Linked DNA regions of Lepisosteus oculatus. The protein of the gene in region 1 interacts with the protein of each later gene in a pairwise test. Links are inferred from orthologs where the notes say so. Each region holds a gene or a part of one and is shown on either strand. Other genes may lie near its edges.

What was found.
Region 2: the proteins of spred1 (region 1) and PIH1 domain-containing protein 2 interact in binary tests that used the Homo sapiens proteins (3 or more experiments, as listed by UniProt). The link is inferred for Lepisosteus oculatus from reciprocal best matches to the Homo sapiens genes SPRED1 and PIH1D2.
Region 3: the proteins of spred1 (region 1) and ncaldb interact in binary tests that used the Homo sapiens proteins (3 or more experiments, as listed by UniProt). The link is inferred for Lepisosteus oculatus from reciprocal best matches to the Homo sapiens genes SPRED1 and NCALD.
Region 4: the proteins of spred1 (region 1) and il16 interact in binary tests that used the Homo sapiens proteins (3 or more experiments, as listed by UniProt). The link is inferred for Lepisosteus oculatus from reciprocal best matches to the Homo sapiens genes SPRED1 and IL16.

The regions. Positions count from the first base shown.
Region 1 is NC_090703.1:14,754,037-14,762,049, forward strand, and holds the start of spred1 (sprouty-related, EVH1 domain-containing protein 1), read left to right. Parts: upstream 1-4,991; 5' UTR 4,992-5,563; coding exon 5,564-5,595; intron 5,596-8,013. UniProt on the Homo sapiens protein: Tyrosine kinase substrate that inhibits growth-factor-mediated activation of MAP kinase. Negatively regulates hematopoiesis of bone marrow.
Region 2 is NC_090718.1:15,289,155-15,296,229, forward strand, and holds the start of PIH1 domain-containing protein 2, read left to right. Parts: upstream 1-4,053; 5' UTR 4,054-4,141; intron 4,142-6,225; 5' UTR 6,226-6,232; coding exon 6,233-6,415; intron 6,416-7,075. Other genes in the region: uncharacterized protein NKAPD1, read right to left, coding at 320-466, 1,437-1,540, 2,566-2,642, 2,844-2,853.
Region 3 is NC_090705.1:9,133,188-9,140,432, reverse strand, and holds the start of ncaldb (neurocalcin-delta B), read left to right. Parts: upstream 1-4,245; 5' UTR 4,246-4,332; intron 4,333-5,705; exon of another isoform or gene 5,706-5,885; intron 5,886-7,245. UniProt on the Homo sapiens protein: May be involved in the calcium-dependent regulation of rhodopsin phosphorylation. Binds three calcium ions.
Region 4 is NC_090700.1:42,407,427-42,415,091, reverse strand, and holds the start of il16 (pro-interleukin-16), read right to left. Parts: upstream 3,016-7,665; 5' UTR 2,860-3,015; intron 1-2,859. UniProt on the Homo sapiens protein: Interleukin-16 stimulates a migratory response in CD4+ lymphocytes, monocytes, and eosinophils. Primes CD4+ T-cells for IL-2 and IL-15 responsiveness. Also induces T-lymphocyte expression of interleukin 2 receptor. Ligand for CD4.

The DNA.
Region 1 (8,013 bases):
TGAGAAAACAGGCTTACAGTTGCATCCTTCTGATTTTTTCTTAGCATTCTTTCTTTACATTAAGAACACACACAAGAGGTTCAATTTTATTTTGATTTATCTAGTTTGTCCTTTAGGATATGTAAAATCCAAACTGCATAACTGAGTCATTAATTTGTCCAAGGTGCAGCCATTTGCATTTCTCCCCTCTTAAAGCTAACACTTGCTTTTCCAAACACAGGCGAGTTTGTCTTTGTGGGTTAAGATAAGACCCTTGCAATTGAAACATTACTAAGTCTAATAAAGTTTAAATTTATTGCTCTTAGCATATTTGTCAGCTGGAGAAAATCTGAATTTTTTTTGTATTTTGAGTATAAGGTAGGTTTGTGTTTGTAATTGCAAGGTTTTTGTCTCCCATCTTAAGGCACTTAATTGTGGAAACTGAACATTCACGTCTATAAAAAGAACAAAAGATTTCACAATGCTTTCAAAGAGAACACCACCATAATTATGTATGGTTCAGGTAGTATTAGCTGTTTAGGAAACATTCAGATAAAGACTAATTTTGGTGTTGTGTTTGGAATATGTTGAAGGAACTAATTCTAGAAAGTCTAGGATTTTAAATTTAAAATTGAATTTTAAAGTACAACAAAAAGTTTACATTACAACAGCTAACCCTGTAAAAGAAATCAGTTCAAAAAGTAAATCCAGTATTCACTCTAATGTCATCATATAAGATACTGTACCAGTTAACTATTGCCTCCTGGAAAGGATTAAAATTGTTAAAAAGTGCCTCAAGATAAAAAGAACATATGGTGATTACCATTTTAAAAAATACTAGAGAAAGACCAAAATATGAATAAGGATAAATTTGTAGTGAGTACAGTTACTAGCTGCATAGGGGTTACATAATCCTACCTCTCTCCCTCACAAGTCTATTTTCAATAGAGAAGCTAAAATGCTTTGACATGTACACTTCTAACTTCTGTGAACATCAGAATAAGTGTATGTGTTTTGAACATAAACTCTGTATCAGGTATAAAGGACATTGCTCTGTCCGCACTCTGGACAAGGCAGTGATACAGTAAAAGAATGCATGTAATCTGCCTGAACACAGCTCGTTTGTCCAGTTCAGTATCAGTGACAGATGGTACTGTAGCTACAGCAGACATAACTGTGTGGTACTCTAAGGGATTTTAGGCACCCCTAAAAAGTCTCTTTTCAATACAAGCATCATTCCAAGGATCTTAAAGTTAACCACCATCATCACATGTAAACTGGACTGGGACTGAGATTTCCAATGTTATGAATCTTTACCTCTGTTTAAGTTAAAGTAAGAATGGTTACTGAAATGCATTTAAAAACGAACACCTGCGGTTTAATCACACACCACCAAAGAACCTAACATTCATACATAATAATGTATGAATAAAGAGAATATTTTACTGTTGTCACTGTATAAGGCTGTGGCGAAGAATGTATCAAGACTAAGAAACTTCACACATAACACGCTACAGTCACTATGACAACCAGGGAGAATCATTCAGTTAGATCTCGGTATCTAGCACAGTAAAGAAATCCATTAATATCTAAATCTTTTGCAACACTTGACTGTACATTTTATTTTTTTGTATATACTGAAATTTTTTGTTTCTTATCATACGTGTATGTCTTTTATTTGTTAATGGGTTCATTTTGTGTTAAATGTATCCTGTATTGTGCTATGTCTTTTACCTGACTGCAAACCAAATTTCCCATATGGGACAACAAATTAAGTACACTATTTTTGTACATATACTGTAGACAATGTAAAGTTACACATTACAAAGATACATCCTTAGCCATTGCACCTCTAAAATGTATGAAGCTACTGTATTTGTGTTGTACTTTATGGTTAAGAATACACATAACAATACGATACTGAATTATTATTTGTGTTAGTTGAAAGTCCACTTATTCTTTGAAGTGATCTTGATTTTATTGACATGATATCAAAAGGCTAAGCTGTTCTGGAATTGGTAAAGAACAACTTTCAAAATGTTTTTAAATGTACATTGCAAAACACAGAACTTAAACATTGGTCCACATATTGATCTCACTTAAAAGATAAAATCTTCATCACTTCCAAAGTGTTTTGACTGCAGCCTATAGGGCTCATTATTTTTATTATTATTTATCATCTTCATCATCCCCACGCTGCATAGGGCAGGGAAATTGACAACATTTGCTAAAAGCATCAAAATGTCATTACTGGCACGTTACATCTCTGATAGCTTGACCCGAGCATGATTTCATAGGGCATTAGTGGGTGTGCACCACCCACCTTTGCTTCTTAAACAAAGTGTATAATGCGCAGTATGAGAAACAGCAGAATACCCACATAGTTACCTTAGGGCCTGGTGCATATGCTTCCTGTAAAAGCACTGCAGATATTCACCCTTGTGAAGCAAATACTGAGGGTCATTTTCAAGTGAGAATCAGGTGGGCACGGTCTGCATTGGATTGCTCGGAACACATTTTACACAAGTTCTGGGTGAGATCTTGGACAAAAGGCAGTTTTTTTTTCTTTTTTATATTTAGTTGAAAAAATAAGGTACTTATTCTTCTAATTCTTTGTATCACAGAGGATATGTTTATTTTTTAAGGCTTATTACTTTTTTTACCAATACCGTAGCCATTAGGCTTACAGTAGTTTCCATGGCAACAAATGCAGAGGCATCAGATTTGAGCTCGTTTTTATTCTAATCTAGCTGAATTCGTCTTGAGTTGTTTTCAAACTACAGCGTAACTCCAAAAGACTCAAAGCTCTGTCTATATAACTTTTATCTGTATTTGGAGAGCATATCACTGACGGTTAAACAATTTGCGCAATTCTCAGTACAGAACCCATTTTAGAATCTATGTTATGCTGTTATTTTATAGTAAATACCATTCTAACAGGGGTTGTGGTAGCTCAGATGGCAAGGGTGTCTAGCTTCTGACTAGAAGGTCCTGGGTTCAATCCCAGGTAGAGGCAAGTGATATACAGTATCTTGCTCTGATTCCTTCCAGACAGCTCCCAGGTCTACTCAACCTGCTTTCCAAGTCAGTACTGGGGGGTCAATCCTTCTGGGGGTAATAGGCCACCTGGAGTGTGATGTGGACCACATCACCTCCACTTCCAGTGTCAAATGGTCAAGAAAAATGGTGGCCCTCAACCTCTATTCCCCCATAGGCCTTGATGGCCTGAAAAGGGACCTACCTACCATTATAATATATACATTTTTATGCAGGAATAAAATTCTAATCTGCAATTTCAGTTTTATTATCATTTTTATTTTAAATGAAAATGAGTTACAATGTCATTCTTCAATAATTAAGTAGCATTCCAAATGGTATTTGACCTTTCGGAATAAATTTCTTGGTGTAGAATTGGGAAAGCAATCTGAAAGACCTTTATATTCAATTCTCAGCATTTTTGTTCAATCAAAAACCTGTACCCTGTATGAAAATCAAAAGTCCATTAAGTGCCTTTTGGGACTATTTTTAAGGTTTCAGTTTTTTTTTTACTAGCAGAAAAATATATTCATATAAGTTAAATATACAGTATATATAAATATATAAGTGGCACTGGAAATTAGTTGCCATTTATCAAAGTTAATGTATCATGCAGGTTTCACACATGTCCAAATACTGGGTTGCATCTTAAAAAGGGATTGGAAAGCTAATTCCACTGTCAGTTTAGAAACTCATTTAAAGTGTTCAGTTTATGGAGAGGTTAGTATGATGTAGCTGTAATTAAAACTATTATTAATTCACAAACCTCAATGTCGTGTTTGCACATACCTACAGCTCCGTTTCTTCTGTAATTTCATTGTCATTCCAGATGCTAAAGCAGTGCTTATAACAAAAATATTCAAACTAAATTGAAATTATCATTGTTTGCTGTTACACCCATAACTTTAAAATACATTATGTATCGTTAGAGTGAAAGGTAGAGTACAATTATGCTCCGCAGGGTTGAATACCATGCTTAAAGTATTTTCAAACTAGTTTCTGTGTTTAGGCTGTTTAAGGACTTTCCAATTGTCAAACTCCTGCCTTATCCCTTCTTTAGGTATCCTCTCGCAGATTGTGTATTACAGGTCTTTGACGAGTCATGTGTAAAATAAGTGACTTTTTAACTCTTATTTTTTTATATTTACCATTGTCCCCTGAACATTACCAAAAACATCAACAATAGAGGTAGGATAAAATGTCTAAATACCCCTTCTGCGAAGAAAAAACGTGAATCTTTTCTAAAAAAACAGAAGCCCAAACTGCATTTCATTATGCTCTAGTTCGCGGCCGTCATTCAGCATCCTAACATTATCTTTACCACTTAATACGAAATGTGCCATTTTGGAGAAGCACATGATTTGACGATTTATTTTACACGGGTTTCGGTCAAACTGGAACCTCTGACCCCTTGACAGAATTTCATTAATCTTCTTCACTTGCATATGGTTATATGATGTAATCCCACGTGTTAAATCAGTTTCCTAAATGCTTCTCCTCAACACGTCTCTCTGCGATCCTTTCAAATGTAACATATAATTCAGCAAAGCAGCTCCATCTTGTTGTACAAACTCGAAGCATCACATATTAACCAAAATCTGGCTTAATGCGCTTTAATACCATGCTGCTATGCGATGTTAATTGTAATGCATTGCATTGCTATCCTGACACACTCAACCTTGCAGATCCAGCTCTGCTATGCGTGCTATCACACAGACTCGTCCCTTTTGTACGTATCACTGCACTCCTATGTGACTGAGAGGCAACTTCTTTTGGGAAGTGCGCGGACTATTTTGTGGCAACTTTGGGAAAACAACGCAGCCTGACCACAAACCCTCACGGGACGAATATTTATTTTTTTAAAATTCAGTTGTGTGTGAATTAAAACCCACGCGGGCTTGAATGTGCTCAGAAAACATCCATTTTGTTGTATTTTGTCAAATTACCGCGGAAGGATCCAGCCAAGAGCTGAGGTCAACGCTTCCGCCCAGTTTTCCTATGTGCACGGTCGAGTTGAAAATGGAGTTCGAGGAAGGCAGATGTGTTGTAACTTCTCATTGAATTTTAGCGCTTCTTTCGCCTCGTTTTTGTAGAAAAGAGAAAAAGAAACTTAACTTTTTTCAGTTCTGAAGGTTGGAATTATACACCGACGAAGCAACCCTACAGCCCTGCTCTGTGCTGGTGTCCAGAGTTGCCGAGGGATTTGCTACCAATAACGTGCCAAAATTGTCGTTTTGTGGTTTTATTAAAGCGCTGGAGTTAGTTGATCGTTGCTGAGGGTGATGGTGAAGATGTTGATGTTGTGGTGGTCGGATTTTGCTGCAGGAAGAGATATGAAGAGCACCCGATTGCTTTTCCCTTGCTCGATTTAGTTGCTTTTGGTTTCTTGCACAGCGCTGTGATGCAATTTATGTTGTGAACCCTCTTTTTGTTATCCAAATAAACTGGCGTTTTTGTGTGAAAGAAAATGGTGATATTTGCGGCTAATTTTCTCACCGTGGCTACGTCGTCGGTGCTACTGCTAGGATTCGGATCCCGGTGAGAAAAAATGAGCGAGGAGTCGGCAAATCCAAACAACGAGTAAGTTTGCGTTTTTATTTTTGCGTTATTGTTAAATGTTCTTCGATTTCTTGGTTTTGTATTGCTGGTTTCAGTGGGTAGCTTAGGACTTCATACTACAGCATTAGTACCGGAGTATAGCTGGGCTATAGCTTAAGATGACTACCTAGGTGGCTAACTTAATTTAAAAAAAACACATGGATACTAGAGAGAAAAATGCAACACCATAAACAGCACCCTAAATGATACACTTATCAATGCAATTTGTCGGTGTCGCTTGGAAAATGGATGATATTACATAGTTAAATCGAATGTCTATTTTACATAAGATGGTAGGTATTTATGGTGTTTTTAATCGTCTTATTTACAATTAATATCTGTAGAGCTCGTCAGGTTCGCTAAATACTCCTTTTACAGTATTAATATAGGCTTCGGAGCGATTTGCTGGATTTGCTTCGGGGAGTACTAATATAATTTAATACTTATTTGCTGATTTTGTTTTATAGAGACTTGATTAAGACCGCAAAAAAAAAACGTTTCTGAGCGGTAAAATTTAACTAAATTTAACTGCGACAACAGAAACTTCCGTTTGTTCCTGTCCTTTAAATCTGTCTAAAATATAATCTTTCACTATTTTACGTTTCGAAAAATCACCTACCAAAGATTTCGCATTTAATAGGCGTTTTGGATTCCGGGGATTTCTAATATGTATTTTGGGATGTTAGTCTTTTTATGAGAAGGATAATAATATTAGAGCATTTATTTTCATTGTCGATTTTTTTTATCAATAAGAATGTCTCTGCTTGCTGCAATGTCAGTGACTCAAAAAAGCTGAAGACGCCATATTTTTTTCTCAATCACACTCATTTGCATACCACAATCTTCATTCATAAAAAATGTTAAAAGAAGGAAGCGGCACCGAAAATCGACCGAATTTGTGGCGCAAATGTAAGGGGACCCTGCTTGTTAACGTCCCGAAGTTTCGTTTTTACACTGGGGCTTTATTTCGCCTTGGAAATCCAGGGTGTATAAATGGGCTCATCGCTGCGTGTGCTTGTTGACAGTCAGTGAGAAATATCAGCTCAGGGAGGTGCTGCGATCACATGATCATTTCCATTCATAAAGTACCTGGCTGCCCATTCATTGTACACTGTACATACAGAGTGTCTCAGCACTGCACGGGCGATCACACAAAGATTCTATCCGCAATCGAATAGCGGCCAGGTCTTGTCAAGGAGATGGGAAAACCGTAGTCAGCTGCCACTCCTTGAAAAGACAGCTATGTTCCCCTACCGTACAATGCTGGTGTCGATACTGTACCGCACCTTCGTTTGGTGCACGTAAGAAAGTGATCTTAGTCAAAGGGCATTCACATTCATAGACTCATGGAAGATGGGGCTCAACTGAATTAAATACCATTGCTCAGCCCAAAAGGAGGTGCCTTAAAATGTGTTCACAGTGGGTTTTTAGCCGAGTTCTATTCCATCTTATTCGTTTCCTGCATCATTTTGGATTTAAGCATTTGAGGTGAAATTTGTTCCACATCAGCATGTCTGCAGACTCGGTATTAACAATAATCCATGGTATTAAAACATGTGATATTGAATTTACCATTGAAGCCAGTGTTAAAGGCCAAATATTTATTCCATGGGAAATGTTGGTTTTAAATAAGGCGTTCTGGGATTACATATGCTTTTGATCAAAAAACAATTATGATTTTCTGAAGTGCACAAGAACACACGTACATATTTCTGAACACAGATGGAGGCACAAAGAAGCTGAATATTTCCGAGATCTGTGGGGATGCCATTTTGATTCGTTTAATTGTAAGATAAACCTATGTTGAATGATTCGTGTGGGAAAAAATAGCTGATGTTTGTGAGAATGAATGAAATATGTAGACCATTGCTATGTGTACAATATTGAAATGGTTTTGGGAGATTTTGTCTTAGAATTTATGGCACATCGATGTGTATCAGCATCTGCGGTCTTGCCTATATGAACATGGATTGTTCTTCATGCGTGCTCTCAACACTGTCCCCAAAATCTGTAGGTTTTTGTACCGTGCGACCAAATCAGATTGTTTTAAACTGAATGGAAGCATTTTGCTGAAGCTTTTTTATAATCCTTTTTTCTTTATCTTTGGAAGTTGTTAAAATCTGGGCTCCCTTTTTATGTTAATGGGAACAACAAATGTCTGTCATGTTACGTGTTGAGGATCAGTGACTATAGACTGTCAGGCTTCAGGATGAAATTTACATCCTTTTCTCTGTACATCTTTATTAGTCTTAATGTAAGCCTGTGCACAAGAATGGCTGAGGTTAGGGTGGAAGATCTCTGTTGCAGTGTATAAATGTGGTGACAACACAACTACAGTTTCCTTTTTCTCGGCTGTTCCTGAGGGGGTCTGTTTGTCGTGAGCGAATTTCATATGAACGG
Region 2 (7,075 bases), on another chromosome or scaffold:
GACAGCAGCGTGTTGTTCAACATCACTGAGCACAGCGCTAGGAAACAGGCAATTGCACAAACCTGTATGTACAGTAGATGTACCTATAAGGGACACAGCTGGATTCCATGAACACTAGGAACACTAGATCAGACTAGGAACTAGTCAGAGTGGTAACAGTTACCCCAGATAATATGAGGAATGCCATTTACATTGCAAGCTGCTGCAGCTACTGTAGTAAGAAAATGTTTGTGCATCAGGAGAATCAGCCTTCTCAATGCGCCTGCGCTGACATGTCAGTGTCAGCTGTTTTAACGCGGATGACTGGCCAGACACCAACCTGTCGGGGTCGCCGGCCTCGAACTCGTACAGCTTCTTGGTCCAGTGGCGGGCCTCGCGGACGTCTCCCTCGGAGCTCTGCGCCGTTGCCGCCCCCCCGTCCCCGGGGAGCTCCTCCTCGTCGAAGCCGTCACAGCGCATGCGGCCCCTGACACACCAAACAGCACAAAATTACCGTTCCTCCTCGCAGCTCTGCACGGCCAGTTTCAAAGGATCGGGAACCGTGCAGGGGTCTCAAAACAGGAACTGGAACAGAAAAGCTGGAACCAGACCCAGATCCTGTGTGAGTGCGCCCTAAGCAGGAATGCAGAGTCAGTGATTTTGAACAGCAGACAGCGACACAACCTGGCCTGTGCTGATAGCATCCTGCAGGACCTCCTGTCCAGGGCACTGGACACTTTTAGAAATCAATCAGTCCAAGTTCTCAGAAAAAGCTCCCCATGCATTGTTCAAATCTTCATGAAGGTAAATTATTACTGATCCCCATTTGTAGAATCAATAGGCTAAAAGCCTCTCTCATTGGTTAGTGTTTTAAAAAACTCATTCATTTAGCATCTCTTTAAGCCCAGTAATGTAGTCTTGGACAGAACCCTTGTTAAACAGAATGCTAAATAGGATATTAAATAGAATTTGCCTTTTTAAGTTGTTTTGTGTCTTGAATATAAGGAAGCAATTCTATATTTTCTATGCAGGTTGAAGGCAGGTCTCTGGTAGCTCACTGTATTGTACATAGCTGTATATAGCCATGAAGACCATGTGCTGTTTGCTTGTGTAGCTATAACAACATAAATATTTGTCTTATTAAGGTCCCCCCTTTTACTCTATTACCAAGCTGTGTTGGAGAAGCTAAGAGCACACATGCTGGTAATGCTCGGTATTCCCTTAAAATCAGGGTTGTTATTATTATTGATATTAGAATTTGCTATGTTTTCAGGACCTGATTTTTGGATTTTAATTTGACAGCTCCTTTTTTATACACTCCCCCCCATTTATAGTACAATACTTTAGGTTTCCTGTAACTTATATAATACTGCAGGGTTGTCTTTCTAGGAAAGATTAAGAACACTATTGAACACCACAGCCTGCTGTACAGAGCTCTTATTTAGGAGGATGCAAACCTGCTCAGGTCATGATCCAGCTTTCGTCGATGCCATCTGGCATGATCACCCAGCGTCTGGCGCTCCTTCTCCCTCATCTTCCACATCTCCGACTCCTCCTGGATCTGCCCCACCAGGAAAGAAGGAGACAAACGCAGGTGTGGTTACAGCTCGGCAAATCCCGATCACCAGCACCACAGCCTGACAGGATCTGGCAGGATCTTATAATCATAAGAGTAATAATAATTGGAGTAATAATAATACTGGAGTAATAATAATTGCTTACAATTATTATTATAGTTATAATAATTATTATTATTATAAAAGCTTATAGCGCTTTTCTGGACACTCCACTCTTCTTTCTGTAAGTAAGAATTCCATTGTACCAGTACCGGTTACATATGGCAATAAAGTTCAAGTTCAAGTTCAAAGCGCTTTACAGGTAATGGGGATCCCCTCCACCACCAGTGTGCAGCCCCACCTGGATGATGCAACGGCAGCCATAGTGCGCCAGAACGCTCCCCACACATCAGCTCTCAGTGGGGAGGAGAGCAGAGAGTAATGTAGCCAATTCATAGAGGGGATTATTAGGAGGCCACGATTGGTAAAGGCCAATGGGAAATTTTGCCAGGACGCCGGGGTTACACCCCTACTCTTTTCAAGAAACGCCCTGGGATTTTTAATGACCACAGAGAGTCAGGACCCTGGTTTTACGTTTCATCCGAAGGACGGCGCCTGTTTACAGTATAGTGTCCCCGTCACTATACTGGGGCATTAGGACCCACATGGTCCACAGGGTGAGCGCCCCCTGCTGGCCCCACTAACACCTCTTCCAGCAGCAACCTTAGTTTTTCCCCAGGAGGTCTCCCATCCAGGTACTGACCCGGCTCACACCTGCTTAGCTTCAGTGGGGCTGCCAGTTGTGAGTTGCAGGGTGATATGGCTGCTGGCGATGAGGACGATTCTGGATTGGGGTACCGTCTGGGTGGGTTTTCTGTGGTGTTCCGGTTTCCACATTCATAAACAAATCCATGCTGTCCTGGTTAACTGACATCTCTAAAGTCGTGCGTGTGTGCATGTGTGTGTGTGCGTGCGCCCTTGATGTAGTCTGATTAGTAGCACCTGGAGTACCTGATGAACTCCTGCTTACCTTATTATGAGCATCTGTGTGACGGATGACATTTCGGAGAAGCACCTTTCCCATAGGAACACGAGACATGATCAAACCTATACAGACAAAAATGTAAATACACTTAGCCAGGGCAACTTCTTTTGCTAACATGCAAGAAGATAGAAATTTCTTAATCAAGGACCCTGGACTTTGAATTTGCACCCCAAATGTACAGTCGTTACAGTTCAGTTTCATGCCCCAGGTTTTCACAAATTAGCACTATCAAAACACAAAACATTCAGGCGTCTGCTGAGTACCTGAGCTCATACAGGTCAACCAGCCAGCAAAGGTTTTCAAGCATCATGCTGGAACAACAGACATCACACGCAAGACCTCAGAAGCTGATTATCATATGAAAATTCCAAGATTTGCTATTACATGTGCTGAACGTGAATCTGTTGGGAGAACTGACACCTAGCCTAACCAGGAATATTCTAAAGATGGTCGCAAAGAGGACTGTTGTGAGTTTATTGAAATGTCTCTACGCTGGAAAAATCTTAAAAGTCCCTTTTCAAAGCAACAACTCTTCAGCGTGGCAGAAAGGCTCAGCCCAACTGCACTGGCAGTGCTTAAGGTACCCCAAAACCCTCCTATACTCACAAACCCCCATGACTCTGGTTTTGAAGACGTTCATTTTTACTTTTACAGGAAAACACAAGTCTATAGCCCACTGGTATAATGTGGTAAACAATTTGCTTCATGAATACAGCGGTTTGATTCCCTGCTCGCTCCTGGAAAAGCACAGGGAACTGTTGACTTTATTCCCGTGTTGAGACATGCAGGCGAAAGCCTAGCTGTTCCCACTGAGAGCTCCCACACAATTAAGTAACAAAGAGACAGCAGTAGCGCACACACATTTTTCACGTGTGTGACGAGCTCCTGTAGAAGCTGTTTCAGGCTCTTTTTAGGCTCAGCAGGAGCAGTTTGGTAAAACGAAAAAGAGGGGCTCCGTTATCGCGAATTCCCAAACTTTTCATTCGTGTCTTTCTGTTTTAAATGCGGAAATTGTACCGAGTTCCATTTTCGTTTTAATACCGCCTGCCAGCTTCAGTTGACTGAAGGATGAATACCATTAAAATACCAACATAGTGCATATAAATTGATTTTGTTAATAGGCTGTTAAAATCTTACCTTTTTGTTACAGTAATTCTTTGTCCTTAAAACAAATCATGTTATTTCATCCCACTGACTTCCTCCGCTTCTCTGTTGTTTCACCGGACGTTGTTGTCATTGCTTAAACGTCCCATCCTGTTTTCCTCGCTAATAAAATATAGTGATATAAGATAGCAGTTAGGAACAATTAAACACGGTAGCACCCTGCGGTACATCGGAGGAGTAAACTGAGAATAATGTAAGCGGATACATCCATTTCGGCATTGAAAGAGACTGCATGACAGAAGAGTGTAAATCGAGGTGGGAACCAATATTTCCAGCCTGAGCTCCCACACGGATTGACGGACTGCGTTTCTATAGTTACCGAGAAGCTACAACAGAAAGGCATAGACGGGAGGCTGTGGGAAGATTTGAAAATCTCACCCAAATATCGCACACCAAGGTAGGCAGCATTTTAGAGCAGGACAAATGTGTGTTTGTATAAAAAAAAAAATACATTAATGTGATTGACTTGCGGCATTTTTATTTTCACTGTTATTTTTTTCTTTTCTGTTTTTATTAGCCTAATGATTATAGGCAATATATTATCGAAGTTAATTGGAAATCCCGAGTTATACGTCTTCATAATATGTATATATCATGAAAGGTGCTGCAAAGGAGTCACTGTCTAAGACACATTTTATATTTGCAAAGCCTCATAAAGTCGGAATATTTCCATGCCTAAATATATTTCCAGTGCAGTCCAAAGACAGTGACACGGGTATTGTTGTTTTGGCTCTGTACTGCAGCACGTTGGATTTGAAATGAAACAATGACTATGGGGTTAAAGTGCAGAATGTCAGCTTTAATTCAAAGATATTTACGTCTGTATTGGGTGAACCGTATAAGAATCACAGCCCTTTTTATACATAGCCCCCCCATTTCAAGGGACTAAAAGTAATTGGACACATTAACATCATCTTAAATAAAATTGTCATGTTTAATACTTGGTTGCAAATCCTTTGCAATTGATGACTGCCTGACGTCTGCAACACATAGACATCACCAGACGTTGGGTATCTTCCCTGGTGATGCTCTGCCAGGCCTGTAATTCAGCCATCTTCAGTTCCTGCTTGTTTCCAGGGCTTTTTGCTTTCAGTCTTGTCTTCAGGAAGTGAAATGCATGCTCAATGGGATTCAGGTCATGTGATTGACTTGGCCAGTCGAAAACATTCCACTTTTTGGCCCTGAAAAACTCCACAGTTGCTTTAGCAGTATGTTTGGGGTCATTGTCCTGCTGCAAGGTGTAGCACCATCCAATGAGTTTTGAGGCATTTGGTTGGATCTGAGCAGATAAGATGCTTCTGTACATTTCAGAATTCTTCCTGCTGCTGCCGTCTGCAGTCACATCATCAAGAAAGACAAGTGAGCCAGGTCCACTGGCAGCCACACATGTCCAATCCAGGACACTACCTCCACCATGTTCCACAGATGAGGTGGTCTGCTTTGGATCATGAGCTGTTCCCTTTTTTTTCCACATTTTCCTCTTCCCATCACTCTGGTACAGGTTAATCTTCGCCTTATCTGTCCATAAGACTTTGTCCCAGAACTCTACAGGCTTTTTTTATGTACTTTTTAGCAAACTGTTACCTTGCCTTTCTGTGGCCTTTCTTACCAGGGGTTTGCATCTTGTGGTGAACCCTCTGAGGTTATGCTGGTGTATTCTTCTCTTTATGGTAGTTTTTGACACATCTATACCTACATCCTGGAGAAGGTTCCTGCTCTGTTCAACAGTCGAAAAGGGGTTTTTCTTCACGATTGAAAGTATTCTTCTGTCATCACTACTGTGGTCTTCTCTGGTCTACCAGGTCGTTTGCTATGCTAAGCTCACCAGTGCGTTCTTGCTTCTTAATGTACCAAACAGTTGATTTTGATACACCTTCTGGCTATGTGATTGATTTATTCTGATTTTTCAGCCTCATGATTGCTGTGTTAATGACATTGACTCTTTTTTGTTCCTCATGTTGAGAGACAACAGCAACAGACTCCAGACGCAAGTGTCACACGAAGAATGAACTCCAGACCTTTTCTTAGCTCTCTTGTGCAGGAACTAACGATGCAACGACACACAGCTGGCCAAGAAACAACTGAGCAGCCAGTTGTCCAATTCCTTTTGGTCCCCTAGAATGGGAGGACTATGTATAAAAGGGGCTGTGATTCCTATATGTTACACCCAATATAGATGTAAATATTCTTCAATTAAAGCTGACATTCTGCACTTTAACCTCATAGTCATTGTTTCGTTTCAAATCCAATGTGCTGGAATACAGAGCCAAAACAACAAATATTCTGTCACTGTCCAAATACTTATGGACTGCACTGTGCTAGATTCAGGAATGACAGTGTGATATCTTGGAAGAGAACTAGATATATATTTTTTTGACTGAACATGTGCTTATTAAGTTTTCATGTGATGAAATTGTGTGTCTGCCCAGTACCAATTCCCTCTAGAAGAAGAAGGGTCACCTGTGTCCGTTTCCCCCACAGGCGCGGCATGGCGGCTCCGTGCTCCCAGCAGGCCGTGCTGCAGCAGGTCAGCCAGCTCTGGTCCCTGCTGGACGACCTGTCAGAGAGCAGCCCCGAGGGCTACCGCAGGTTCATCCAGCAGCAGCTGAAGGACGGGGCTGATTACTACAGCAGCCCTCAGGCTCACTCCTGTCTGCGCACTGAGATACTGGTACACACTCCCCCGTCTTACTCCTGTCCGCGCACTGAGATACCGGTACACACTCCCCCGTCTCACTCCTGTCCGCGCACTGAGATACCGGTACACACTCCCCCGTCTCACTCCTGTCTGCGCACTGAGATACCGGTACACACCCCCCCGTCTCACTCCTGTCTGCGCACTGAGATACCGGTACACACCCCCCCGTCTCACTCCTGTCTGCGCACTGAGATACCGGTACACACTCCCCCGTCTCACTCCTGTCTGCGCACTGAGATACTGGTACACACTCCCCCGTCTCACTCCTGTCTGCGCACTGAGATACTGGTACACACTCCCCCGTCTCACTCCTGTCTGCGCACTGAGATACCGGTACACACTCCCCCGTCTCACTCCTGTCTGCGCACTGAGATACTGGTACACTCTCCCCCTGTCTCACTCCTGTCTCTACACTGCTATACCGGTACACACTCCCCCGTCTCACTCCTGTCTGCGCACTGCAGTACTTGTACAGACTTTTTTTACACCCCAGTAGGTGGAAATCGCCTTACATAATAGGAATGCAGTTTAAACACTGTACAACCCCAGAGCTCCAATTGCAGTTTGCTGTCAGATGTACCTGGGGATCAAAGTGAGGAAGAGGTGAGAAAAGAGATGATTTAATCATCAACC
Region 3 (7,245 bases), on another chromosome or scaffold:
AAAGCATTACAATTACAACGTTTTAAACAAAATGAACTCACTAACTATAAATAAGTTGGGATTCTAAATAAATGTATACTTGTTTCCCGTAAAATGTTTGAAGACCTACTTTTCTTATAAGTCTATGAGGCTTTTTTTTGTTGGGGGGATAGTGTATATGATGTCCATGCTTTAAGGTTCAAGTTATACATTCTGGAGTTCAAATGTAATCATTCACAATTTAAAACTGATTCTGAATTATTCTGAACTTAATTTCAGTTTCTGAAGCCTTTAAAAAAATAGAGCTTTACTGTACACGGTGGTACTCCAGTCCCTGGAGCAATAAAGTCCGGTCCCCGCCGTAACCTTCAGTAATATTATCGATTCAATTGTATTCTTGCTACGGGTCGTTTTTTAGCCGAAGGGGTCCTTAACGAAGGAAGACCCCTGGGAGCTGCTCCCTGGTCTACAAATGGTAGAGAACCGCTCATCTAGTCTACTTGCATTAATGTCAAGGTTTCGCACAGGTTCACAGCATGCAGCGTGTAAATAAATAAATATGTATGCACTGAAAAGAAAAAGACTCAAATCACCGTTCATCTATTAGAGTACGACAACAAGCAAAATAAATCACAAAACATGATTTTTTGTCTGTCATTGAATATGTGCGGGCGAACATTGGCTGAATCTCACGCCTGTTCAGGAAAAGAAGGAAGAACCGCAATGCTAGCTGCATCAAAAGAAAACCAGCATTTGGCGAAGAGCAACTTGTCTTCACAGCTTCAATGTGCGGTGCTTAGACGCCATCTGCAGGATAAATAGTCTCACACACGTTTTTAAACCGCTGGCGGGATTTCCATTTCTTGAAAAAAAAAAACGTCACAGAATCTTTAATGTCCCGTAACGGGTTACGAAACGAGCAGCGCCGTTAATATTTCTGCCAGAGCACATTCACCTTGTTAACATTGAACCCAAGAATTAAACAAATAATAGCAGTCCGGGTGTTATGGTTTCAGCATTTCAAGGCCAAATATGACACTATAAAATCAATTAAAATATAAGGATTTGCAAATTATAAGAGGCAACAGACTACACCTTAAAATATGAAACATTTAGGGATGTTTTTTAAAAGCCGGCAGAGAAAATCAAGAACTTCTTTGAATTGTGTTAACTTTCCTCTAGGGTTAAGCACTACATACTCAGTGTGATCAAAAAAAAACCTGAGACCAGAATTACTGATTTATAATCTCAGAGGTGGGTCCAGGAGTCATAAGAAAAAGACCAAAGGATTGTGTAAAAAAGGTGTTTGTTTACTTAATGTGCTCTTTGTTAAGAAAATACTTGTAAAAAAAAAGAGGTGAAAAAAGACATTCCATTGAAGAATGAACAAACTCCATCCTGTGTTACTATCGCACAGACTCAAAACTAGACTTAAACAGAATAACCTGCTACACCAGGAGTGTCCGTTCAATACTCCGATATCCTCCCTGGCACCAACTGATGGACAGGAAGGAAATTTCCATTTAAAGCAGAGATGAGTCAGGGTCTGAAACCCGTCACTGTTCCGACCACGGACAGATGCCCGTGTCGGGTCTTGTAGGAGACCCCATGCGATGTGGTAAGAGCTGGAGAAAACAGAAGACGTAGTATGGGAAAACACACAGGGGTTTAATAGTGCACAAAATAACAGTGACAGTCCGCGAGACAGTGAACGGGGGAGACAAAGAACCGCATCCAAATCCAAAAGGGTCCAAAGGCAGGTCAGGGCCCAGTCCGGGAGTCCATCAGCGAGTAATCCATCCTGGGACGCGACAAGGTTAAAATCCCCCGGGAAGGGGGAAAACACGAACAGACAAAACATGGAGATCCGAGGGTGATGTGGGCGAGATCCCCCAAACCCCGGGCTCAGGAAGCAGGAGGTGTCGGGGATGAGGCCTGTGCCCTCAGGAGACAGACGTAGGGTATCCTGGTGCCAGGCGGGCCTCGCGACGTGCTTAATACACATAATCGGGGGCGGAGCAGTGGCTCTGTGGCTAAGGATCTGCGCCTGTGGCTGGAAGGTTGCCGGTTCGAATCCCGTGACCGGCAGAGGAATCCTACTCTGTTGGGCCCCTGAGCAAGGCCCTTAACCCCAGGGGCGCTGTAAAATGGCTGACCTTGCGCTCTGACCCCGAGCTTCTCTCCCTGTCTGTGTGACTCATGGAGAGCAAGCTGGGGTATGCAAAAATTCCTAATGCAAGAAATTGTAAAGGGTTAATAACAAGGTACACCTGGGGAGTTAACGACAATGACAGGAATGATAACGTGAGTAATGGAGCGCCCTCTAGGGAGGGTTGTCGGGCCTGACAGTCACAGCGTGATGGAACAAACATAACGACTAGACTGTTGGATTCACAACAGATGAGACAGACACAAATCTACCCATACGTACATTGGTACGACACTGTAACGATACATTCCATATAAAAATACAAAGAAAGTGACTTTGTCAGGGGTTTTATGGCAACAAATTTTTACATTCCATATAAAAATACAAAGAAAGTGACTTTGTCAGGGGTTTTATGGCAACAGGTGAGTAAAAAAGGTGAAAAGGTTTGTGACAGACCTCAGAAGAGGTCTTGTGACGAGGGTGTGCACCAGTCCTTTGTCAGACTCGGCGGTATCATCAGACCCCTCCCAAGAAGATAAGCTTGCATTCACTGAAACAAGCTTTGCCTTTTAAATCCCCCTTAATCTGTTAATGTAATTTGCTTTGCGTATGTACCCATGGGCGCAGCCAGGAATGAGCATTTCTCCGTAGTTCACAGGTAATCAGTAAACATTGGACCAGTCATAGCATGACAAGTCCAGGACTGGATTATATTTACTGAGCCCCTGAGCCCTGCCACAACAGTAGGCAGCTGGTTTGGTTGGCTGGTCGGACTGGTTTGTCCCATTGGTTAGTTATCCCACCTCTAACCACTGACTTTCGTCCCACGCGCAAAGAACGTCACAATGAAGTCACTCTTTTATACATCTGGAGCTCAGCTCATTGACACATAAATCTGCTTAATGTGAATGATTGCTGCTCATTTTCTTCAAGGTGGATGGTGATAACTGCTAGTTCAAACCCAATCTCCCAAACCTACACGCTCTTGTGTATATAGTGAGGGCTGTAGTGTGATACACGTAGGAGCTTGGATTTCGACTATGATACTACGCTTCGGAGATCCCACTGGTTTTTTTTTCTCCATGTGTGTGTTGCAACAATTTTAGGCCTGTCTAATAGTGGGCCAGCACTGACGCAGTCTCTGTATGTCTACTGGGATAGCTTAAAATGTAAGGCAAAGTAACATCTCCAAAGTGTCTGCAGACCATTGAATAAAAAGCAACCTTGGATAATTAAGCATACTGTAAGATAAATGAAGGCATAATGTCTTCAAATTCTCACAATAAGCCAAGGGAAAACTTTGGCTCTTGAATAGGAGACCACAGATGTAAAAAACAATCTATTTAAATCAGCTTGGGTCATTACTTCAATGCTTACTACAATATGGTGCCGCATGTTGTATCATTTGTAATAACCACATCCAGACAGGTACTTCTTTTTTTTTTTACAACAACATTTCTTTATTAACCCTTTACAATTTCTTGCATTAAGAATTATCTTTTCGCATACCCCAGCTTACTCTCCATGAGACACACAGACAGGGAGAGAGCCTGGGGTCAGAGCGCAGGGTCAGCCATTGTACAGCACACCTGGAGCAGTTGGGGTTAAGGGCCTTGCTCAGGGGCCCAACAGAGTAGGATTCCTCTGCCAGCTGTGGGATTTGAACCGGCAACCTTCCAGCCACAGGCGCAGATCCTTAGCCACAGAGCCACCACAGGTACTTCTAGAGTGTTACATGGGACCCTCTAGGAAATTTGTACCTCGATTTCAATACCTCTGTTCAGCACTTTCCTGCTAGGCATATGTACAGTAGTTCAGGCTTTACAACTTCAGAAGATAAAGAGCTTTGGAGTCATATTTCAGGCATACTGTAACCATACAAAGATTAAACGTGGTTTTCATTCACATAGGTAATATCTGACACAACTAGAGAATAAATAATAAATAATTGCATTGTAAATCTCTGCACTGCAAAAGGGCGGTAGGTCCAGACAAGATGGAGATCCTGTGCATGAACTACATTTCCCAGAATGCTGTGTGGGGCGTGAGCTGCCGCCCTTATTTAAAAACACCGGAAATTGAAGCTCTGTTAAGGTGGTTTGATTTGTTGTTTGAATACTAAATACCATGTGAAACTTAGGAATTGGGAGTTTTTGAAGTGAGTATCTTTGGAAGACGTCAAAGAGTCTTTACTGCGAAAGCTGGTAAGCAGCTCAGTAGCCCGTTTATTGATAGAGGCTGAGGAAGTCTAGGCTTTCATTCTGTCTTGGTGGTTTTGCATTGTTTCCTCACAGTGTATTTATTTTGAAAGGCTGGTTTTGTACCTTGGGGCTTTGCTTTTGTGAGACCTGAAGATAAATTCGCTTTCTGCGACACCCCCAAACCGCAGGTGTGCCGCAGTATGGGCGGTAACACTTTCTGATTCCCTAAAAAGCGACTTTGAAAGGAAAAGACATTGTCCCAGCTTCAGGACAGTAAACATTACACATACACAGACGTATGCGACAAGGCATACGGCAGATCAACATTAATGCGTTTAACGTTGTACAATTATCTTTAAAAGGCTGCATATCACTAACGGGAACGTGCAGTAAGAAAACATAATTTTGTGGGTTTATTGATGCGCAAAAAGCCTTTATTCAGTATTGACTACAGACTCAGCATGCTGTGTTGGCTATACATTATATGCTTGCATGTCCCATAGTGTAAAGTATGACTCACAACTGTAAATACTCGTTGAAAGTAGCCGCATGTGACGGAATATATATTTTTATTTGTTTTTCTTCAACAAAGAACACCCAGGAAGTGCAGAATACAACTGCTAATGTTATTCTTCACTCCACTAGATGGAGGTACTGTAACTGTATTTATTACCTTCACAGCGTCTGTCCGCTATGATCAGAAGATGATCGTGTGCTTTGCTCCCACTCCTTGTCAGTCTGCTGGAAAATGATGTATACCATTATATTATATATTATATTTTTGTACCAGCTTGATACCAGCTCGTGTGTTCTTCTTACCTTCAGCAAAATGCTAATTATTTCGATCATATCCATCGAGAAATACGATGTGTGAAGTGTTAAAATGTGACGTTCGAACGTATTTCAATATATATATATAATTGCAATTTATTTGGCTTAAGTTAGAGGAAATCTCTAGTGAACATCCTCCTAGCAGCCTCTAGGCGCTTATATCACAGTATTTAAAGTGTTGCTGCACTTTAAAGGTTCCTTTACATTTGTATTTTGAAGTTTTATAGTCTTGCTCTTTTTAAAAAAAAAATACGAGACCTCCCAGCCTTAAAAGTAGGCTTTGCTTCGCTGGTCTGACACACAAACGTCCGAAACATTAGTCTTCATCTTAATGAGGGCAAGGGGTGGAAGACGGCGAAGGTTAGTTATAACGCTGGAACGTGTGAAATTAAGCGAGAAGGAAGTCGGGCAGGACACGGTGGGTTTAGTCTGGAAACCCCGGTGCCGGTACCGGTCGCAGCCGGGGGAGTTTGCGGTCTTTGCGGCGCGCGCGCTTCGTGCTCCCCTCCCTCTCGCGACGGAGTGACGTCATCAGGAGGGGGGTGTCTCGCATATTCTTCTTCACCACGCAGAGCAGCGAAGAGATACACGATAACGAGGAGCCCGCTTTCTCCAAGTCCAATTGGCCCGGGAGATTGTGAACAACAGTGTTGCTCTTTCCTTGACTGGGGTTTTTTTTTTTGTTTACCCAAGATTGCGTGTATGCAAGGCCGAAACCGAACAGAGTAAGTTTTCCTCTTCCACATCCACACATAAACATCTTTTTTTTGTTGTGTTTTTTTTTTTTACAACTCTTTGCTATGCGGGGAAATTGCGTGCGTGCGATGGGGGCTGGAGGGGTTAGGGAAGCCGCGACAGTTCTCAGTGGCAGACTCAGGGGAGAAAGTTGTGTTTTCCTTCTTTGAAGCGACCGCCCTCATCCGTTGTGCAGGGGAGAAGGCTGTGCAGAGCGAGTGTTGTGCAGTGAGCAGCCCGGAGAAAGTAAAGCGATCGGATTGTGCAGTTTATTTAAAGAGGCTAATCACAAAGACGAATCTTTGCATGACCCAGATTACATATTGTTTTTCCCCCCTCGGCAGCCACCTGCAGCCTGTGAAATAAAATCCAGTTTGCACGCAGATATGAACGCCTCTGCCGTTCCTCCTCGACTGCAGCAGTCTTTGCAATAAGTGATCGTGTCGGGGGTGTCCGGTTATGCGATACTGTCACAGTTAACTCACGGTACAGTGGATGCATTCAGTTCACTTCACTGCGTGTTACCCTAACTAAAGCCCCTGAATTAATTACCCTGTCTCTTAGATTTTGCGCGCTTACAAAACATGTTTTACTTCGTTAGATGCGTTTGATTGTAATATAACGCAGATATAGTTGCAAGATAATTGCAGATTAACTGCGTGCAATTAGTGTGAGTGGGAAGTGCCGTCGTCTTTTACATACATATGTTTTCCTAGTTGGGGGGAAAAAAAAACTGCCCCTTTCAACTTTAAAAAAAAAAGGGGGGTTTGTTACGCTTGAACACGTGACAAAGCGATCGGGTTAGATATTGCGGGTGGGGTGTAAAAGTTAAAGGCTGGAAATGGTGGAACCCGCGACAAATTCGCCTGCAGTGAACTGGTCCATAGAAGCGTTGGAACGGTCTGTAAATTATTCTATACACTGGTGTTGCACGCTGGACAGACCGCTGTTTAACAACTCCAGGTTGTTAAATGTGAACGGTTATACCAGGCACATTTCACCGTTAGTAATTCAATGAATTCGGACTTTTTACATTACGTGATGGGTGGGGATTGTGCCTCGTTAACATAGAGTTGCTGTGCGTTTTTGTTTTTATTCCTTTAAAAACTAATCTTAGGATGCAGTATATTCTAGGAGCCCTGCCAGTGATTTTATCGACATCATAAACGACATCATGACCTCATTGATTTAGGTCAAAGTCTCAGACCTTTGCTTTTTTTGATGTTCTGCCACACCCCATCGATCCATTTACTAACCGCTCGTATCCAGTGCAGGGTCACGGGGGCGCCGGTGCCTATCCCAGCAAGCAACAGGTGCAAGGCAGGGTACACCCTGACTGGGATGCCAGTC
Region 4 (7,665 bases), on another chromosome or scaffold:
GCTGAGGTTGAATTACAATCAGAAGTTTATATTCATATTGGGCAGAAGTGACGATCACTGATATATACAGTACCATATTTCCATATGCAGCAGTGTTGTGAGATGTAGTGTAATTACTAGGTCCTGCAGGAAGTGTTCCCTGCTTCCCTTTATCTCATGTTTCCACACAAGCTGCCTGGCACACCAAACCCTTATACTATACAGGCCCATCTCCTTTCAAGCAAAGGAAACTACACTGGTGTTATTTATAATTCTACTTATGCTTTTGCTTATAGTTATCCATCATTCTGTAAATGGAGTTTGCTTCACTGTTGACTTCTCAAAATAAAAAAGCATGCACATTAATTCCTGTAATTACTGCAGTGTGACTCCGACTTTCCTTTGAAATTTGCTACTCATATGTTGATGTAATGGCACAGAGCAGTAATATTGTGTCTTTTCAAACCTTAGCCAAGACTTGGAAGGAAAGAACACAGAAAACACATTTTTCGCCGTTAGCAGCACTGAGGAGCTGGCAATCAAGAGTCAAGTAAAACTTAGTTTATAAGGAGAACTGGATCTTAAAATTGGAAGCAAGAGCAGTGCTGCAAAAATTTAAAGACCCAGTGATTTATTTTCAGTTTCTATAAGGAGTTGATTTTTTTATTTTATGTATGTTTTAATGGATGGGGTGGTGGAGAGTGACAGCTGTGTAGGAGCTCTGTGGTTGCCCCTCTGATCTGGAGCCTATTCTTTAATCCAATATTCCTGCCACAGACAGAGGGCAAGATTGATTTAACTCTGTATCAAAAATGCAAAAGGATTACCAAACGAAACTGACGGAATGACTTAGACATTTGATTTTGTTGTTTTTTGAAACGTTGAAAAGAAAAAAATTCTCGGAGTCAAATTGTTTGACGGGAATGTACATTTTCTACTCTGCAGGTTCAGGACCTGGTTTGTAAACACTCCTCTGAAGTCAAAAAGCCACTCCAGTAATGCACATTTGCAGTAGAGACTCACATTTTGCAGTAATGTGAATATCTGGGTTAATCAGACAATTTGGAGCTACAGTATGTGATTTTATATTTCAATAGGCTAGGTATAATACTGTATGTCACTGCTCTCTAAATAATCATTACTTAAAAGTTATTTGTGCTTAAGAAGAAGAAGCAATTCTCTGTAATCTCAAAACATTTCCCTATTGTACATAATATACAGGGTTAGTCAAAATGTTGTCGACAAGTATAAATGCCAATTATTTTACTAAAGTTTTGTTTTCTCCTCCACAGATGTAAGGTAACTGTTAGAAACCTTGATTTGTATGCTTTCATTTGAAACCTTTTTTGTCACAGTAACCCATGTAATTAATTTGTAATAAACTGTCAAAGTTGTCTACATCATTTTGACTAACCCTGTATATAGTTCTGAAATACTCGAGTGTGTTAACATATCAAATACATGTTAATCATTTCTAGCACATCTTGATAGCCACAGACCTAAATACCATTATAAATAACACTCCCTGGATTTTAGTGGATGCGTGTTTGTTTAATTATGCATAAGATATAAAATAGTGCAAAAAAGGCATTTAAAAATCTCCGTACCAGTTTTTTAGGAAAAACCTTTAATAATTCAGTTCAGTTTATATGTTATACTGTATGCTTATTTGTGTGCTCCAATACGAAGACATTAAGGGAATCACCAAAAACATATCACAGAACAGCAGCAGCAGCAACAAGTTAAATAACATACAACTTAAAAATATATCAGTGTGAGCCAGAGGTAGGGGTAGAGTTCATTAATCTGACAGTTTGTGGGAAGAAACTGTCTCTGAATCTGAAGAACTCTGAAGGAATCTGAAATACTCTGAATAATACTGACAGTGGTAATGATTTTACTCATGACTGTAGTGTGAAGTGATCACCACTGGACTTCACTCACTCATGAAAGATACTGGCTGTCCTTGAGCATGAGCCCTGACTGAGAGCTGAGAGCTGGTTGAGAGCAACCAAACAACTGTGTCCAGAGATTTTGCATTCTCTTCTTTAATATATGCCACTAACATGAAGCAGCTTCACAGGTATTTCCGTTTTTATTTATTTTACTTTTTCGTTTTCAACAAAACCTAAAATAAATGTATACATAAAGCCTGTAATTTGTATGTGCAGCTTAACGTTTAAACCTGTGAGTTTAAAACACTTAAAACAATTTTAAAACATTTTGTTTCTTTAAATGTTCAAACCTCATTTCAGCAAGTTCACCTTTAAGATTGAAACTGTACTGTTACATGGTTCTTACATTTTTTTTAACTATTATTAAACAGCACCTTATGGATTTATTTTTAAATAGGTAATACATTTCATATATTATTACAAACACAAATGATCTTGCTTTATACTGTTAATCTGAATTGAAGGAATTTATTTTTGGAATTTCTATTTGCATTTATTTTTTCTCCTTCCCTTACCAAAATAAATACAATGTGTTTGAGGCAGTGACTGTTCTGGGTTTTAAATTATTGGCATAAAGCCTGATTTCATCCATACAGATGTTTGCATCTGAAATATACTGCAAAGCTGAGGCCCACAACTGGTCTCTTGAAGAACGTGCACAAAAAAGTAATAAATAAAAGCATGGTGCATTATGCCAGAGGTCTCTCTCTCCATCTGGGATTGTGCATTAATTGTATAATTTCCAGCAAGTTATTTTTTTAAGTAGGTCTCTACTAAGCACCTCTGTCTATATGGTTGATTCTGGTGTTTAAAGTGCCATTTACATTTCAGTTCACCATTAGAAACTGTTTCTAAATGACCCTAAAAAAAGGCAGTATCATTTTTATGTAATCTGCAATATATTAAAAAAAGATCTGTTACTTACCAAATCTGGTCATCTTTTTTCATAATTCTGATTCACCTTACGTCTTCAGGGAGAAAAGAGTTTTGATCTGTTTCAGTTCCGAATCATTCCCAAAAAGGAAATTCATATACACTAGTTCTGGGTTTAGGTGCTGAAATACTATGTGTTAGAGCTCAACAAACCAGCTTTGCTGCTCAGCACAGTTTTCTGAACTCTTTGCCAGAAACTTTCAATGATTTAGATTGGGTACTCCTGGCTACCGCCCTCCCTCTCATTTCAGCAGCTGGGAGCAGAAAAGATGATATTTTGTAGCATTAGCCACCAAATTTTAGCCCTTTCCTGTCGTACAAATTAGTAAAAAAAACACATAGCTTTTCTAGGACTCACTGTGACTCATGTCTGCCTAATGAGTTTCAGAGTTCCACAGCAGTTCCAACGTGTTTTGCTCATAATGCAATTGTCACTATTTGTAACATATCTGAAAAAAGAATGCGTGGAAGAAAGAATGAATTTGCCATGCTGGACCGTATTTGTAAGCACAAGAATATTTTTATGCATGCCCACTGCAAAGGAAATAAGTAGTATCATAGGTATGGATTTGTAGTTTTAGTTTTGGATGTTTTCTTCATTGTCATGCACTGCAAGGTTTAAAACTGAGAAGTTTTGTTTTCAACTCCATTGACACTGGAATCTTGCAAGTGAAAAACAAACTGTGTGTTACATTGATTTTACATGGAAAACTATTTCTGAGGCCATACATTAGCTCATGGAGTCTGATATGTCAGTGCTGATATAAAAAGAATTAGTTTCAAACAGGCTTTATAATAGACAGATCTCTGCAACTTCTATCACTGTGAATAACCCTTATCATTCTACTGACCTTAAACCTAAAAATATTTAGGTTTTAGATGTAAGGGTTAAAATGCAACATTGTTCAAAAATAATTTAAAATGACTTTCAGGGCTGAGCTTCAGCAAGGAGACAGAAACATAGAGTGAAGTTTGATGTCACGCTAGCATCACTAAAATGCCTAAAATCTGTTCCAGTTAATCCATGAACAGGCCTAGTGTTACAGTTGAGTCTGCCTCTGTTTATTTATCCTGCAGGAGTAGATGCAGGCCTCCTGACACACGGGTTGGGATTCAAGAGAATTCACAGGGGATTTTTCCCGTTAACAGAGAGCTCTGATTAACCCAGGCAAGCACACTTTGCATAAGGCTCCTTAGTGCTGATAAAAACAGAAGCTGTGAATGCAGCTAGTGTGGTGTGGGGTACTCTATGAATCACAGTGCAGACAGGAATCCCAAAGCAAACAAGGGCAAGGACAGAGGCTGAATTGAGACTGCAGAGCACTGCCACACTGAAGAGGTTATAATATATGCCTTCTGCAAGGCAGGGCAGCCAGAGTTTAAGGTGGAGTCTGAATTCGTAATTATTTATTACAGTTCCATGCTAGACATTGTTAAGCAAAAGAGTTTTTTTTCTTAGTAATACATTCTGTATTCAGAGATTTTTGCACCCTTGTCACAACCTCCTGTTCCTGTACCCCCATTAAAATAAGGCGTGTTTTTGAAATAAGCTTGATTTTCCATTTAAACAATTGATATTTATCATGTTGATTAATTGATATTAACATAGGCACAATAACCTATATTTATAAAATATAATATATTGTGCACAGTATATATTAATCAGCTTTTCATTCAATCAGAACCCTACAGGAGAGGCTCACAACTTTTCATCCTCCCTTTTCGCCAAAGGAAAATTGACGTTAGCAGCCATGGACAGCTGTTTCCATGCTACAGTTTACTTTCAACAGAAAGAACAGTACCAAAATATCACATCCTCACCAGTGGTGTAGACACTACAGTCTAAATACTCTATATTATCGAGACTAAAAGTAATATTCTATGTTTTAACTGCTTGTAATAACACATACAGTACGACAAACATTATCATCCACCGCGGTTGTAGTTCAGGTGGGTAGCTGCATCAGCATGGGTAGGCTGCAAAGGAACAAGTAATAGGTTTATTCCATGCTGAAAAAAAGAAGAAAGAGAACACAACGTTTCGGATGTGGAGGCTTCTTCAGGTGTGTGGATTATCATCCACCTACTAGTATAGTCTTTCAAATTAAGAATAGGCCCCCAAGAATGCTGTGTCTGAGTTGATGTATGTCTTTAAATGTCCTATGCAGCATTTTGGTAAATCTAAAAGACAATTAAAAATCAGTGTAGTGAAAACATAGGATGGTGAGCACAAAGGTACTATTCAAGAAAAGATCCTGAGTTTACACATTCTGTGTCTGTTAAAATTCATCGGTATTGAGCGAACAAATTACGCTGAGGAATGGTGATATTGATCCAACATGACAAGAAAGAGATGCTTATTGGATTTATCCATTACACATTGTGTTTCTATAGGATTTAACAAACTCATTCTCTACCTCTTCTTTCTCTCGAATTATGTATAGAATATATTAATAATAGAAAATTCTTAAACATTATTCATCGTTAATCCTACATGTAGCTGTAATGCCAAGTGTGGTGATTTGTCAGAACCCAAGCACAAGTGACCGAGAGTGGAGGAACACCCAGAGAGACCCCACTGATTGTGGGGTCGAGTGCTCCGGGACAGAGGAAAAGAGAAAATGAACTGGGAACGAAAAAGGTGATAATTGATTAATTAATATTCAATAGAATAATTGATTACTGGCTGGCAGGGCTTAATCAGCCCAGGCCGGTCAGTAATGGAAAAAGACAGCAGAAAACTCTAAGACAGAACTGGCCAGCAGAGCAAGGATAGCCACAGCTGGTCAGCAACTAAAGAAAGCTCTTGAGGGGCAAAAGTGGCAGTTCTCTGCATTCCTGGTGACTAAAAAGATGAGCTGGCACAGCAAAGCGCCAGCCACAAGTTTAACCGCTCAGCCCACTGACCAGGATCTGGTACCCTTGGCTCTGGAACAGAACCAACCGCCAAGCCCTCAAATGGAAGGGTTCTCAGTTTTGTGAAACAGCCCTCTAAGTAGCCAGGGATGCAGCCTGGCAAGCCCACAGGTCAACACACGTCAACACAAGTCTACAACAGGGAAAACAAAGGGAGTCGCCTCAGAACCTAGCTGTGCTTTGGTCTGTAGGCTTTACTGAGAGGAGGGGTCTCACCAAAACCAGTGAGGCAGGACACCCCCACTCAATGGTCCAGTCAAAGGGCCCAGGAGCTGGTAAATCATGGCGCATGCCCTTATGGAGGGCCTCCTTCGAGACCAGGCCAGGTGTCCACCGTCAGCTCTGTCTCCCGGGTTCAACTCTCTGACAGAGGCACCCGGGTGCAAACAGGATTAGATACCCAGGTCCCCTCTGGACCAACTGGGAGAGACATTTGTGAGGCAAGGGACACTACCTCATTCTTCTCTCAACTCTCAGAGTCTCAGATCAGCACAGCAGCGGGGAGTTGTCCCAGTCAGAGCCTGAGAACTAAGAATCCTCATGGAGCTCTGGCTAACAGAGTGATGCTCTGCAGGCACCAGACAGAATCAGGATGCCTGGCTCCCTACAAAAGATCAAAAGGCTCTGCTGGGGCACTAGAAGGAAACTGGAAAAAGATAAATAAATTACCCAGACAGCCCAAGAGAAAGGGTGAAGAACAGAAAAGGAAGGAGAAAAACTGAAGTGCTAGGGCAGGACTCGAGAGAACTAGAACGGTTCTGCCAGGCAAAGGGAAAAGGGGCTTCAGGGAATAGCCCTGCCTCCTGGAAGTGGGCCAGAACCGCAGGAGAAGAAGGCCAGGGGAAAGGAGCCCAGGGTTCCAGGGCAGAGGCCAGGAGCTGACGTTCAGGCAGGTATAAGATCTGTGGTGCAGATTGGAGTGAAGTCCTGGACTGGAGTAAGAACAGACTAGAATGGAGCACTGCAGTGCAGGGTGACCTGAAATCCTGGCCTAGAGTCAGAGAAGACTGCTGCAGCAGCGAGAAACGAGGGTGGTTGGCGTCGAGATCTCAAGCCTGACGAATCAGGCCATCACCAGGAATAGGGCATCCGCAGTTTAGGACTGGTGTCCTGTGCTAAGCTCCCAGAAAAAAGGAGGACGCTTGGTTATCTTGGTCTTGGAGTGGAATCCTGTTGCCGAGCCCCGAGAGAGAATGGGAATTTGACTTCGGAGAGGAATCCTGGTGTTGAGATGCTGAGGCATCTGTCCGATGTACAGGACTTTGGGAAACTGTAGTGCAGACAGGACGGTGAAAGGAATAATGATAAAGCACCATGGAAGCGGCACCTTGGCATTAAATTGAGAAAGAGAAATTTAATAATGAATTGGATCAATGTTAATTAAGGCAGCTCACTAGAAAGAGATTCGGTAGTACAAACAAGCCCTGGAAAACCGTGAGCCCCTGTAAGAATATAACAGTTTCCCAGGGTTACTGCTAGCCGAGAGACGCCGCAGGAGTACAGTCATAACAGGAGCTTTCTAAAATATATACTAAGCATCATAAACGTATTACAATTAAATATTCTACGATTGCAACAAATTCACAAGCTGCTGTATCTGGAAAATGATTGTCAGGATAGCCAATTGTTCTTTGGAAGAATCTGTTGAATGAGACACAGCTGCTATGAATGAATTAGTACTCATTACATTCTACAGGAGGGAAAGGAGCTTGTGATAGGCTGTGTGTGATTGATCAGCCCCCTAGGCTGATTAAGAGGTTTATAAGAACAGCATTGAGAAAAGGTGTAGACTCCAGCCTGGCTGGAGGGGGTCAAAGAGTTTTCATTAGGAATACCTGTACATAAAGTTGATTTACAGGTCTGTGGGATTAGGTATGGAATA